3 linked regions of the Arabidopsis thaliana genome follow. The protein of the gene in region 2 interacts with the protein of the main gene of each other region in a biochemical or structural test. Each region holds a gene or a part of one and is shown on either strand. Other genes may lie near its edges.

Region 1 (5,914 bases), on a different chromosome or scaffold from region 2:
GCAGATTATATATATAGACAAGTATTCCATACCTTTTAATGAATTCTTCCTTATGCAAATTCAAGTGAAAAATTATACTTGATCTTCAATTCCAAACACAAGAACATGAGAGAGTATTGAAAGGAAACAAAAATAGAAGGCTGGCAACAATTGCAGTTGCATGCAAGACTTATCACTTGTTAGGTCAAATTAAAGCATTGACCAGTGAGGAAGGTGACAAATGGTGAGTTCTGTAGGATACCGTCAGGGACTTGGGATCAGTACCGTTTTGCTTTGGGTTCAACGCCCTTCTCTCTCTCCTTTACTTTTCATTTCTTTGCTGTCACCAGTTAATTTTTTTCAACTCTTCTATTTTTATTTCTTGACTGATAAAAGTGAACATTACAGTAGTACACATGCATGGTCAAATCAAAACAACAAAAATCTTTTTACATCACAAAAAACGAGATTGATTTAGCCGCAAATATTTGAAAAAAAATAGTTTCTAAGTACATACACTAGCAATCAGATTATACATGTGTTTATTCTTGGACTACAAATTCGTTTGGGCCGTAAATTTTTGGGCCCTAAAGTTTTCTATTGAATTTTATTTCTTTTTAAGAGAAGGAAAAAACGTACAAACAAAACATTATAACTAAAGCCCACTACTTTTGGGTTTTAGAGTAAACCCAACAACACAGTACATGATAAGAATAGAAGCAAACAGAACAAAATAATAAAACAGAGCAGATAAACACACGAACACAAGAAACACAAGTTACGAGCAGAGAAGACCTAAAAGCCACAAAGAAGTTTTACAATTCAAAGCATACAATCTGCTTTTGAAGGTAATTTCCTGAAGAAGTTACTTGGAGCAGAAGGCATCTTGCTTCTGAACTTAGGATGCCTCATCCAGAACATCCCACCCGCAAGAGCTATGATCTTGAAAGGCGTCACGTACAAAATCATCGCAGCAACAAGACAAAAAATCACAAACAAGCAAGTCGCACGCGGATCTCTCCAACTCAACAAAGCCTGAAACCTCTCTCCTTGCGTTGCAATGTCTCCAACAACCATCTGGATCCGACCCGCAACGCTTCTTAACCTATCATACCTCATCTTCACAACATCTTGTCCCTTTGAAGTTGGGAAAGTATCAAATTCCTCATCTAGCTCATCAGGGCTAGCCGCTTCAGCCCAAGATACCTTTGTGTCCATATGAGCAGGATGACGCGGCCTGAACCGGAAATTCCAAAGCCCTATCAAGAACATGTAGAGGAATGTGGTTGGGAGTATCAGCTCCGGATAACAAATCAATATAAAGAAGAGAACGTGGAATAATATCGTCGTCAACGGATTCTTCCAGTAGCAGACGTCTCCGAGCCATTTACTCATAGCAATCAAGCCTGCAAACACAGACACTATCCTGAAGAAGTTAGCTTTGCTCCTTCTCATGCTCCACATGTGTGAATCAACATCAAGCATGTACTCTACGTTCTCTTTCCTTAAAGGAGGCTCTGCTCGAGATAACCGTGCTGCGACAATGCTCATTGCTTGGTATCTTAGACTGTCTAATTGGTTCACAGTGAATGGATGGAGATAATGCATCTTTGGAAGCAGAGGATGGCCATAAAGATAGATCATGTGAGCCAAGGATAGACAAGTGAATCTCACAGCTAATTGGACTTCTCCCATTTTCTTTAACCCTTTTGTTTGCAGAACAAGAAGAGGGTAGGAGTGAGTGTAGATTCTATCAGCCTCTAGAGTCGACAACCGGATCCTTACCTTCCCGATTCTCGAATCCACTTTGGCTCCACTGTTCGATTTCTCACTTCCGCCAAGGTGACAGTTATCGAAAACTCCCAGTGTGATAACTGTACAAGGATCATACACTTCCCATGTGTATTGCTCATTCCATTTAGGGCTAGAGCTGTCAATGATGGTTCTTGTTCTCACCCATTTTTGACCGTACTTGGCAACACAATACGGATCTGTTGTCGCTTTACCGTCTTTTGTTTTCATAGGCGATAGCCCTTGAGCACTCAAGATTCCTACTTCAAGGATGCCAATAGGAGACTTCCATAGTTGCCTTGCCGTAGGTTTCACGTCACTGATGTACAGAGTTGACTCGTCCATTACATGGTAACCTCCTTCAAGGCAAACTCGTAGGTGGATTCGGCTGGAGAACTTGAGCTCGTGTCTCTTGTCTCCTTCCAGAGCCCCAAACCCAAACTTTTCGAGGTTGTACCATTTGGAATGAACAGCTCTGTGATCTAACCTTTTCTCAAATACGCTCAAAGGTGAGATCAGCCTCCCCATGACTTCATCTTTAGCTGGTGTCACCTTGTTTTCGACCGTCAAGAAGAACTGTTCTTCAAATGGCTCTGCAGCTACAAAAACAAGATCTTCGTTCCACATCGGATTCGTCGTCTTGTTAGGACATAACTTTGTTTTCAGAATCTGATTCCCAACTTGTACTTTAACGAAAGCTTGAGGTGGTTGGCTCCTGTCACTAGGCTCAACATCTTGCGCCTCGATGACATTAACCCGCAGATACCACAATTTGGGAGATACATAGACTTTAGACCTCACGCTTTGGACACCTTCTCCTTGAACAGAGGAAGCATCCGAATGCCAAGCATCAGGAAATGCTTCATCGGCTTGCGTCCCAAGCCAAACCGCTACCATAACCTCTCCTCTTTTCTTACTCTCACCTCGCCGATCTTCTAATCTGTACCACTGAGGTGCAAGTGGACTATCAGGAGGAACTCTTGTAGGAACCTCACGCATATCAAACACAACCTTCCCGATGTATTCATCTCTTGTAACCATCTCCTTATCGCGCACAAAGACTTCAACAGTAGAGGATTGGACCTTGTCTTTTGAAAATGCGAAAACTTGATTCCACTCCGGGTTGGTTCTTTTCTCGAAGTGTTTAGTCTTTCCTTTGTAGTTTCCTATTTTCACTTCCACATAAGGATCACAGTTGCTGGTGACAGGGTTTGGAGGAAGATCCTTGGCTTTGACGACCCGAACATAGAGATAAAACATTTGCTCAACAAGGTCATATGTGCTTGCAGCTCGTTCACTGCCAATCCATCCGGTTCCTCCACGCTGTCCTCCATGTGGCCATCTCTCTCCAAGCTCTGGTTTCATGTCTTTAAGCTTATAGTCTTCTTGGCTCTTAGCTCCATCTTTGGCTGCCATGGTTTTAGATTACTTGAACCAAAAGATTCTCCTGTTTCTTTCAAAACGTTTCAATTCTGTTCCTGACATACAAAAAAACAGAATCTGAGAATTGCAGGAAAAAATGATTAGACAAAACCTGTTTCTTGGATGTAAAGAAACTAATGTATCTCATCAGAACTGATTTAAAACCTTTATAATTAGTATTTAGTAATTTACTTTCAATCTCAACCAAGATAATTGAAAGGATTCTTACCTGATTTAAACAATATATACTAAGTGGTCGACGCAAATATAAGCTTTGTCTCTTGGTTCTGTTCCATGAACTCATTCAAGTGTTTGCAGGAAAACACAGAATGTCTTGAATTATCTTTTGCAAATGAAAAGTAAGAGAAGGATTAATATGAAAACGATAAATAGAGAGTAAATGAAGAGAAAAAGAAGATAGCAAACAAAATCAATGAAAGAGATAAATCTATAGTATTCGAACTTACAAAAAAAGAGAGCTATTTTTATATGGACCAACAATATTTCAAGAACATGTATATATGTAAAGAAGGATGCGTTTAACTTAGTAAGCAGTACCTTGAGAAAGATGTTGAAGAAGCTGCCATAAAATTCTCTGTTTGCTGCTGTACCATAGAAATGAAAAAAAGAAAGAAAGAAGAATTTAAGAAACCAAGAAGTTAAGAGTTATTCCATAATCAAATTTTTGTTTGATACACAGAGAGAGAACGAAAGAGAAACAATTCTATCTCAAAGAAAAAGAAGAATCAAAATGAAAAAGGAAGAACCCTAAAAAATTACTTCTTATTCTCTCTGTTTTTCTCCTTCTTTAAGAGGGAAGCTGATTCTTTTTTTTTGTTATCTTCGTTTTATTAAATAGGAAAGCAGATTCTTCGTTTGTCTTAAGACTTTTAGGTACATTAAGAAATTTTTCAGCAGTGACAAAGGTAGAAATAGTAGATTCTCTCACACTTGTAAAAAATTACACCACATATTTGCCAAATTGCATGACTGATTTCAAGGATGAATAAACCCGGATAAAACACTCAAACCCAACATCAAGTGAAACTTTCTCATGCTTTAATCAAAACTTTTCACAAAAATAGTTTCGCATCAATATATAAAATAAAACATGTAAACATAAATTTACAAGAACTCACAGATAATATACTTAGTGCCAAAGTGATAATTAGAAACATTTCCAACACCAACTTTCCCCTGTGAGTATATATATCTTTAGTGTTTCTTTCTTTCTGCCTCATTGGAATAAGCATCTAAAAAATAGCTTTTTGGAGTTTGAAACTTTTTCATAAAAAGCAAAAGGGCAGGCTAGGCTAAGGAGTGATTATTATTATTTGATTGAGTAACATCATTACCTTATTATCTCGCCATTTTTATTTCTAATGCCCGCACTGGAGCTTATTAAACTATTTGGTAAAAAGAATCAGTGAACCGAGACTAAATCGACCCTAACAGCAGAGATGAAACTAACTTCAGTTAGATCGACATTTCCCTTTGTATAGTATCAAACAAGAACCGGTTCTTCACTCCACTTGCATTTGTTAAAATGTGTCCAGGTTTCAACCATAGCAAATGAGCTCTCATGAGGATGTAGTCAATCTTCTTCAAAATCATGTGTTTAATATTTTAGACAAGTTATAGATGAGTTCTACACAATTTCCAATAAACATTTCTGAGGATAAAGAATTGTTTTTACCAACGTAGATGAATTTAAGTTGCCTGAAATTCAAAACCTCCCAAAAGAAAGAATAAAAAGGTGTGGAATAAGTTCTTGTATTGTTTCTTTATCAAAAAAGTTATAAGATGGTTCTAACATTTTTTACATCTATGTTATATGTAAACTATGAATAAACTGGAATGCTTTTTCTTTTTAAAACTTTTATGAAGGCTAATTTGAATTTTTATGAACCAACTTATCAAGTTGTAAAGGATCCAACTTTAGTGGTCCGCTTTTGCTGCCTCAGTGATGCTTAGTAATGATGACTATATTATTATGTTCTTTTATGCATCATCTTGATAGACTTGTCACATAATATCCATTTTTCTCGGTTTAGTTTGGTTCACAATTACGATTTATTAATGTCTAACGAAACCAAAGCATTTAGACTTGGCGTGAACATTAGACATTTTACATTGTGGATCAGATACAGTTGATCATCATTTGTGAACATAAGACTTGTCTAGTGGCTTTCATAGTGCCCATTATAAACTAATTGGGCCTCATTCACGTTCATTGAGATCTGAAAGATGAATTAAGCCCACACTTTGGCTCTTCTTCGGTAACTTATTTTATTTATTTGTTCATAGAAAAACAGAAATCACTTATCTCAATAGAGCCGTTTGTGATAAATCTCTTCCAACGGTCGGATCGATTTGAAGATGACCATAAACTTTGTTCGATATTTTCTTATAAATATGAACCAAAATCTAAACTTTCTCTCAAATCTTATGTTTGTTGGATAGATCAATTGGGTTACTTAAATTTGGATGAACTTTTGAGAAGTTGTATTAGATGGTGAAGACATTGCCTCAGTATACATTTCCAAATGCTTCAAGGAGATATAACTTGCACCGGTTATAGCCTAATTATATACAACGCGTAATTGCATTACCCAAACATATTCAACGCCGACATCTTGACTATATGATATGTATTGACTATTATTACGGTCCATGTGGAAACAGAGATCAAATCGAATCCGTCTCTCTAAGTCTATATCAC
Region 2 (4,765 bases):
TTATTTTTAGTTTTAAACTCAAATTTAATTTTAAAATAGAAAATACATTAAATCGAAACTTATACTATTTTAGGCGTTGAATCAGTGATCTAACCATAACTTGACAGCATAACGTCTAGACGGAGCCAATACAACCGCCTAAACCGCTTTTAAATAAAACATAAATGCTTAAGTTGTTCCTCGTATTTATCCCAAATTAAAAAAAAAACGTTTTTCTATCATGGGAACAAGATCTAACGTCGAAGTCCATTAGTAATTAATCTTCAGAATGTATAAATACTTCATATGTTTACCTTTCAAGGATTTAATAATTAAGGTTTGATCCTAGGATTCGATCTTACACATGTGTTTCTTCATACGTGAGCCCATAAACTTAAAACCAAAATATTGCTCTACTTTTCTAGCTTATGTATTGAATGCAAACTCTTTAGTTTGATATATAATGATCGACTTGGATATTATCAGTACTTTAGTAGCAACACAAAAAAGTGTATTATGGAACCCAAAAGTAAAACAGCAGATTCTTCCCACTGCCTGATTTTTGCATCGAAAAGAAATGAATACACGTAAAGTATAAATATAACACTTCATTTCATGTAGATTAATATAATTATCGCATCACACACTATATAAGTAAAACACTCTCATTTTCCTCCCCCTCTCATTTTTATTACACACTTATATATTGAACTACTATAGGCATCATCACCGTTCGTTACTCGTATCATAAAATGGTTATTAAATTAAAATACTATAGATGCATAAATCTCATCAGAGTATGCAATATCAATTGGTTATAAAGGAAGAAGCCATCTAAAGTCTTCTTCCTCCGCAGCCACTCTCCCTCTGACAATTGTAGAAAACTGCGGCCACGGGAAGGCCGAGATTGTAGATCTCAGCAAACTCGCGAGTGTTGAAGTTCTGGCGCCACCCTGGTGCATACACTGTTTGCCTGCCAAGCTGTCGAAACAATATAAACACGACACGATGAATTCCTGCAGTGGGACTTGGATTTTCGTAACACACAATCTCATTGCCTGAAAAATAAAAAGTTCATCAAAACATGTGAATTTTCTAGCTAGTAACTAATTAATTAGGCTATTTCATATACCTTTCTATATTTCTAACACCTAGCGATCTAATATATAGAATAAAACTCACCAAAGGTTGTTCCAGTTGTAGCAGGGATATCAGTCACCAACCTGTAATGAGAGATAGCCATACACATGTTTAAGCTATGGCACCACAACATAATTGAAATGCTACTTCTTTTTTTGACAGAATTGAAATGCTACTTAAACTTTATTTTCTTACAAAAAAATAATAGCAACGTAACTAATTCCTAGATTACTAGTGCAAGTGACTAGCAAAACATGCAATAACATTCAAGTGCATGAATATATAAATAAAAATAAAAAGTGATATAACAGGAAACCTAGTCCTGCTCACTTCAAGGAACAATGATGATGTCATCAGGCTATTTTAAGCTCAATGATATTCCCGTACAAAGACCACTTTAAAGTGAAAAAAACAAATCTTAGTTCAAGTCACGTCCTATACATTCTATAGAATCTATGTGCGATCAGTAAAATACACAGACATACATAATACATATTTACATTACACATAGTAAAGTTTTTGAACAAAATATGTCAATTTAGCTTGGGTGTGGGCTTTTTTGGGAGACAAATTGATGCATCGCACTCTCGAAGTTGATTTTATATGTCTCCTTCTATTAAATGTAAAATGTTTGAGTCTTAAGTTATAAGTGATCTACTCAATTTCAAAGTATCCAAAATACATGTCCAGTTTTACATGTGTAGTTGAGTGTCTATATATATAATTCGAGCAACATGTTTGAGCTATGCTATAACTTAAAAGTGAATTAATTAAAGAGTTGAGTTAGTGCACAAACCAATGGAGATATTCTCGGAGGTGAGGGTTGCTAGGACTTGGAACATCTGGATCCACCATAACCTTCATTAAACAAATAAGACGAAGAATTATAAGAAGATAAGATTATCATTTTCAAAGAAATCAAGAAAGCAAAAGGTCTTTTTTTCTTTTTCTTTTTTGAAGTTTGGAAAATGAGATAACACAAGAAAGAAGAAGAAAACTATGAATAGAAAAAAGGTAGTAGCTACATGTCTATATATAGCAGAGAGTATCTTAAAGGCTGGCTTGAATATCAGAATATCCTTATTCAAACAGTTTTCAAATATTCCACAACAGAGATTCATCAATATATATATTTGTTTTAATGAACATCAATTTTCTATATCTTTTTGCAGATATTTTAATTAGCAAAAAGGATATTTCAAAAATGCCATTTTCAAAGTATAGTAAAAAATTATACTTAAAAAAAAACAAAAAAAAACAAATGCAAATTAAATTATTAGGTAGGAGGAACAAAGAAAAATCCCAAGATTCTTATCCTAAATAATAATCACTTATGCAAGAAGTTGGTGGAAAAAATTTGGGATAGATCATAAATTTATCTCTATTTAATTTAGGATAGGAAGAAATATTTTATGGGTCCATCTTCATGAAAAAAGAAATGAAATATAAATTAGTTTTTGATTTGGGTATCATAAAGTAAAACCAAATAAATCATAAAAAAACAGAGAAAAGGAAAGCGTGGGGCATTTTTAACCAAGGTCTCTGCATGCCCAAGAAATATTTTCAGTATACCCCAAAAAAGGAAAATAATTTCTATTTTAAAAAAGAAGGTGTAAGAAGCACTGAAGAAACTAAAGAAGAAAAGAGACAAAAGGGAGTTCAAGTGAAAGAACCAAAGTATAGAAGTTCCTGAGGTCTTCTCCACCAATCTCAACTCTTGGCTTGTTTTGAACCTGAGAAGGCCTTAGATCCAAGCCATTAGTCACCTCTCTTTGGCCATAAGTAACCTTTAGAGTGATTGATCTATTAAACGGATCAAGAACGTCTCCAACAACTCTGCTTACTATAAGAGGGTCTCTTATATTTATAGACATCTTTGATCTTGAACAAACAGGTGGTTTCTCTGTGTTGATTGTTTCTGTTTTACTTGTTTTTGTTTCTGCTTCTTTAATTTGTATCATAGGCATGAACCCTCTACACATATTTATACTGTTTCGGATTTGCATTAACTCGGGTCGGTGAAATCATAACCACAATCTTTTTCTTGTCTATTGATGTACTAGAATCTAAAACTGATTCTACGTACATCACACATTGTCGTCTTATTTCATATTTTTCTTTCTTTTTATTTCTGTTTGTGGTATTCCAAACCCACCACACTAATACACTGGAAATATTCCAAATTATATCTCCCACTTGGTAGCCACTAATTTTTGATTTATTTCCTTTAACAAGATACCTCTCTCGACTAAATATTATTTACTTTTATACAAAGATATTAATTATGATAATGAGTAATCAGTAGTTTCATATATATTTAGTTTTGCCATATATTAACATAATTTATCATAACAAAGTAAGATTATTAATAAAAATAAGAAAAAAGTAGGGTACCGCCAAGTTTATAGAGAAAAAAAAATTACAGTATCACTTGTTATGTTTTTAAAACTATTATTTAGAGATATAAAGAAAAAAAAAATTCTTAAAAAATTCGAAAGCGAAAACGTTCTAAAAGAAAAAAACTAAAAAAAAAGTTGAGATAGAAATCATAGAAGAAATGATATATTTTATAAAACAGCCTTTTCTTGTAGTTATACCAGGTAGAACAAGGGATCCTTCAGGTTAGATAGAACCAGGACATTTGAGAATAGTCACCTATTTTTCTAGCCGCTTGTGTTATATGGTCGACAAACAAATCTCAAACATGTAGAATGAAGGCAGTTATTTTCATCGTCCATACCTACCAATGTCCGAACTCAAATACGCAAAATTATCTCAAAATGAATTAAGTACAAGATATCTGCAATTAAATAATATAAACCAAATCAATTGTTTTATTTCTCTTCTTTTTTTATAAACAAGCGGCCATATTATGGAAAAGTGAGTTTTATAATTGAGATAGTATCTAGTGTCTTGAAACAATTATATCATACGGTAATCTATCTATACATATAATATTAACTATTAAAAATCTAAAGCAAAATAATGATTACTTTTTAAAATTAGACATTAGTTTGGTTGTAAAAATACTAACCATCCATTTGCACGACCAGGATAATTGGTATATATACTTATGCGTCTATAAATAGGTATGGATTTGCTAATTTGAGAGATTTTCTTTTTGACATTGCATCAACATATATAGATGTAACTACCATTACCACTAATTAGAGCATTTCTTAAGTTCAAAGATGAAACTTATAACCATAGCCTAACAACTGTAGGAATTATTCTTTCTTTTTCTTTTAATTGGTAATTAAATAATTAGCGATAGGTTCTACTGTCCAAACTGGAAAATAAAGGAATTATTCAGTGATGTAGTTTTTTGTAACATCTCAGTAATGTATTCATATTGAACTTTATCTTATCATTTCAGACTTCAGCCACTGTTCTACACGTCCATAGGTTAACTTCATCTTAGGTTGAAATCCAAAATATTTGGTAACCTTCATAGAAATTTCAGATTTGTTTACTAAAAAAGACGTCTACGATCGACCATTGATAATCGAAATCGCAATTAAAAAAAACTCGAAATCTGCTATATGCACTTTTTAACGACTAGCATTTATTTTCTACTAATTTTAGTTACACACAAAAAAATGTATGCATTTTTAAATATTGGACAGGAGAGCTCAGTACTATAAGA
Region 3 (4,673 bases), on a different chromosome or scaffold from region 2:
TATACCAAACTGAGTAAACCAAACTCTCCAAATTAAGTAACTCAAACTTATCACAATAGAGAAGTAACTTACTACTCCCAAGACATTTCGATTTATTAGAGCAGAACTTATCATTGGTTAAGGGAAAAAGCAAATAGCTTCACATCAGTTATAAAAAATATATTTGAAAATGATAAAGTTTCCACGTAATATATTACACAAATTACGCATATATGAACTTGTCTGTATACAATGTACGTTAACCCACTTATACATAGATCACAAGCCTAGTGATACCCGATACGTTTGTCGATCGCATTTAACTTAATAGGCTTGAAAGGTTTTGAATTGCCTGATTACTAGAACTGACGTCCAGGTCTCAGAAGGAATATAGATTGAGAATGTATTGAATCATGAATCTTAACTTATATAATTTTGTCATCAGTTTGTCACGTTTCCTTTTGTTTTTGTCATTTGTTGTATTCCTAAAAGCAAACGATAGACAAACTTAACAACACAGAGATAATATTAACAAACAACGTTTAAAGGATACATATCAGTTAAAAATCCACTCGAACTATGAAAACAAAATATTATACAAATTGCATTAATTTCTTCACATAGGTTTAATATTTGACACTAAAATGACGAAAAAGCCTTCATATAAACATGATTAATTACGATGTTAAGAAAAAAAAACATAAGATGGATTAACATATCTCTCTCACCAAACTATATATCATTAATTTGAGATATTAATGTTAAATGAAATCAGTTTCAATACATGTTTTGATAGTTGTGCATGAGGTCTCTTGGTTTCGCGCCGAAGGAGTAATGAAGATCCGTAAACTGATGCTGCTGCAAGGTACATAGCCCCAAAAAAAAAAAAATCGATGAAAATTTGAACAATAAAAACCATAATAGTATAACCAAGTCAGTTAAAAAAAACCGGCGCCTTTGAATCGCTGATGTGGAACTAGATAGTAATAACCAAGTACCAATCCACAAAACACAAAAACTAACTTCTAATTAAACTATATATAGCATTAATTAATCGATGGTGGTGCATTAGTGTCATTGAATTTGATATACCCTACCTCTAAAACTTGAATTAACTGTGTATAGCTTTAGATAAAACCATTGGAAAAAAACTCATAAAAATTATAAATGTGACTCGTAGATATAAATAAGGTACCTCAATGGAATTAGCTGCTCCTTGGCTGCGATGGTGGTTAATCACTGGGAATGATGAGTTCGGTTTGTAGTTGACTAAGTCATAAGATTCATTTGAAATGTGATCTTTCTTATTCATGATAAATTCGTTGCAAACTGCAAAACGATCGTTCTTGCAAAGTTCTTCGATCTTGTCTTCGCAGTGTGTCATCTCAAAAGAACTCCGATTCACTTGGCTTCTATTATTATTCTTTATTATCTCACCATGATCATGAGCGTCTTCTTCCACAACTTTCACTAATTGTGATCTTCCTTTCATCTTCATCATCATTTTCTCCATTGTTCTACCCTTTGCTCTTTCTCTAGCTTTCGCTCTCTCCTCCTTGGACAACTTCTTTAAAATGGGCGTTCGCGGTTCTGGCCTCTTTCTCTTCCCTCTCATCGATCTCCCATCGACCTTGTTTCCTCTTGTTTCTAATGTATAAGATAATTTATCTTTTGTAACATTTTGATAGAAAGTACTCTATATATAATTGTAAATCAGAAAGGCAACGGTTAAGGTCGTACCGGTCGTGTTAGTATTGCTGCCTCTATCGTCGACCGTCCACATGGATGCAAGTTCACATAGATCAGAAGATGTGTCCATGGATCCTAACACCGGTCCTTAATTAATTAGGAAATTTACAATTTTCAGATTATGATATAAAAAAATTCATAGAAGTTGAAAACTTGAATAGACTTAAAACTAGAAAAGAATGGATACTTACGGATATGAGACTCATCGCCGCTGCTGAAGCAGCCATGGTGAGAAAGGGTTGTCGCGATCTTTATGATCTCAGGTTTTGCTTGTGTAAGCAACCATTCAACGGTTTTGCTGGCTTTGTCAAATCCAAGCATGTCTTGTAAGCCAAACAACTCTTTGGCGACATCTAGCGAGAGTCTCATCCTACGATCTCGTGTCCCTTTGGCCGTTTTGATCTTGCTGTGCCTGTCCGTTCTGCTGGGTTTCTTGGCTTTTTTCATTTTTGGGTCTTGAGAAGTTGAGATTCTCTGGGAATCTTCTATAAGGTTTATAGTTTCCGAGGGCTCAGTGGGTTGTTCTACAATGGTGTTGTTCAAGGGAAAGTGAAGTGATGGATGATGATTGTCGTTTGGGATGGTTTGGTTATCATCATGGCCATTGTTTTCTGGGTGGAAAGAGGTGAGGAGGGCGCAGTCCGGGGCAAATTCGAAGTGAGAAAAAGGAGAAGGTTGTTGGAATTGATGATGATGGTCAAGATGATTGTTTGATGTGTTAGAGGTGGAGTGAATCAAGATGTCGTTAATGGAAGAAGAAGGGCTAAAAGGGAGCAATGGTTGTGAGGAATAATGGTCATTATAAGGGAATAACATGTAGTCGTCATTGATGGTGGTAGTAGTACTGAAAATGTTGTTGTTCATGCCTTTTTAGGGGTTTTTGAAGTAACAAAATTAAAAAACCCTAAGACAAAATTTTGAGAATGACACTTGTACTATAATCTTCTTCAGACACACAAGAAAAAAGAGAAGAAAATGAAAGAAAGTTTGAATCAAAGAGAAAGGTTACTGTTCCAATGACGAAGACATTGATCTCAAGTCTCAACCAAAATGAAAACAAGAAAATTAGAAAGAGAGATTTCTTTTTTTCCTTAGCCTGCAAAATCAAGAAAAAAAAAGAGCAGTAATAGTGATTAGTCAGATAGTACAATATGTCTTTGTTCTAGAGAATCTATGTGTGTGTCTAAATGTGTAGAGAGAGAATACCTTTATCGAAGCAAAGGACTAATGGTTGAGAAAGACAACACAGGCGACGTACTTAAATGAGTCTATGTGCTATGAACTAGAATGGAGAGAAAGAGAGAGAAAAAGAGAGAGAGAGGGAGAGCTATATGGAGAGAGAGGCAAAGAGATCATTATGGGGGAAGGAACAACATATAAGCCTTTGAAAAAGCATTTATTTTGTTTATATATTTTTCTTAATTCCTAGCTTCGGCATGATAAAAATATATTCGTTTTTGTTTTTTGTGAAAATGTGATAATAGATGTTCGTTTTATTTGATTATCAAGATTTTTTTCTATAATTAGGACCTTGTGTTTGTTTATGTTCTTATATTTCTTTGAGATAGTTCATTACTAATATGTAGATAAGAACTCAGTATAATTATTTGATAGATATTAAATTGTTGACAGCTATATTTCAACTAATCAAAGATTGTATATATCTTTAAAATTAATAGCATGCACTAAAAGATGCCTAAAAATAGTTAATTCAATATAAAATATTTCACTGTATTTACTATAGAATATATGTTATAACTTTAGGATTTAGCTAGAATAATTAATATTACAGTTTCTTGACAGAACATATATTTACCAATTACATTAACATTTCACTTTAAATAAACAGATCTTTATTTAAATTATTGAAATGACATTTAAAATTTAGTTAGATAGATTTTTCCACATTGATTATATTTTTTAATATTTTTAGTAGATAAAGATCAAGGTATAACTAAATGAAAGAAATAAAAGGTAATGAGATTTAATTTCACCCAAAAATAGACATATAAATGTATGTTTGCATATTAAGAAGATCAAAATAAAAAGTTGAATAGAAATAAATATGAGATAAAATTAAGGATAAATTTTATTATTAGTTATGCCTTTATTTGGAAAAGGATTAATAGAAGAAAAGTTAGAAGATTTTAGATTATGTCTAAAGGAAATAGGAACAAGGAATATATAATTAAAATATATATAAAATATTGATTTGCATTTCACCGTAAGAAAGAACTAAGGTCAAATAAAATTATAAAGTTTTGTTTGGTGGTATTTTTCAAAACACTATAAACAACTTTTTCATATTTTTAAAGAGTATTTTGGTGTAATTCTTATGACTTCATATGTACACTAACTATTGATATATTGCATTTGTTCAGATAACAATTTTTGTATCTCTATCTAATAATTTTTATACATAGGACACAAATATTGTTATTCCAAAACTTCTATCCATTCTTAAGTCCAAATCTTTTATTTGTTGTTTCATAAATAAAAAACTTATACTAGATCAAAAAAAATATTTGACAAAAAAATCTTATATTAGATAATCTATCGAACTGAATGGGTTGTAAAAACTGAATCATCAATCATGGCGATCCCTCAAGAAAACCATACAGATCAGTAATATTTTTTAATTCCATTTTCTTGTGCCAACTTTTAGGTTTAAATACATTTATTTATTGTTGTAAAATATTATTAATTGTATTTTAAAGTATAAAATATGAATTCTTATATTATAATATATATATATATATATATATTATTGAGAATATCAAATAAATTTAAACACTGTTATAACAATTTATATCCATCATGGATGTTTCTCAAAATTAAGTATAGACATAGATGATTGTTCTAAATTGATTGTTATGCAACATCCTCTTCTGTAAATTATTAGTAAAAAAGGGTAGCTCCTTTTTCTTACGTAGACTTATTGGAAT

The links.
Region 1: the proteins of FT (region 2) and FTIP1 form a complex in vitro, tested with the Arabidopsis thaliana proteins (one study listed by BioGRID).
Region 3: the proteins of FT (region 2) and BRC1 form a complex in vitro, tested with the Arabidopsis thaliana proteins (one study listed by BioGRID).

Annotation. Positions count from the first base shown.
Region 1 is NC_003076.8:2,126,399-2,132,312, forward strand, and holds FTIP1 (C2 calcium/lipid-binding plant phosphoribosyltransferase family protein), read right to left. Parts: upstream 4,112-5,914; 5' UTR 3,751-4,111; intron 3,536-3,750; 5' UTR 3,422-3,535; intron 3,249-3,421; 5' UTR 3,187-3,248; coding exon 802-3,186; 3' UTR 546-801; downstream 1-545. UniProt on the Arabidopsis thaliana protein: Involved in the export of FT from the phloem companion cells to the sieve elements through the plasmodesmata. Regulates flowering time under long days. May function as a signaling molecule by regulating the trafficking of other regulators.
Region 2 is NC_003070.9:24,329,738-24,334,502, reverse strand, and holds FT (PEBP (phosphatidylethanolamine-binding protein) family protein), read right to left. Parts: upstream 3,131-4,765; 5' UTR 3,126-3,130; coding exon 2,793-3,125; intron 1,978-2,792; coding exon 1,916-1,977; intron 1,203-1,915; coding exon 1,162-1,202; intron 1,038-1,161; coding exon 814-1,037; 3' UTR 504-813; downstream 1-503. UniProt on the Arabidopsis thaliana protein: Component of the mobile flower-promoting signal (floral stimulus or florigen). Promotes the transition from vegetative growth to flowering. Required for 'SEPALLATA3' (SEP3) and 'FRUITFULL' (FUL) accumulation in mature rosette leaves.
Region 3 is NC_003074.8:6,381,688-6,386,360, reverse strand, and holds BRC1 (TCP family transcription factor), read right to left. Parts: upstream 3,073-4,673; 5' UTR 2,935-3,072; intron 2,854-2,934; exon of another isoform or gene 2,825-2,853; 5' UTR 2,593-2,824; coding exon 1,920-2,592; intron 1,816-1,919; coding exon 1,720-1,815; intron 1,627-1,719; coding exon 1,091-1,626; 3' UTR 838-1,090; coding exon of another isoform or gene 757-837; 3' UTR 546-756; downstream 1-545. UniProt on the Arabidopsis thaliana protein: Transcription factor that prevents axillary bud outgrowth and delays early axillary bud development. Indirectly required for the auxin-induced control of apical dominance.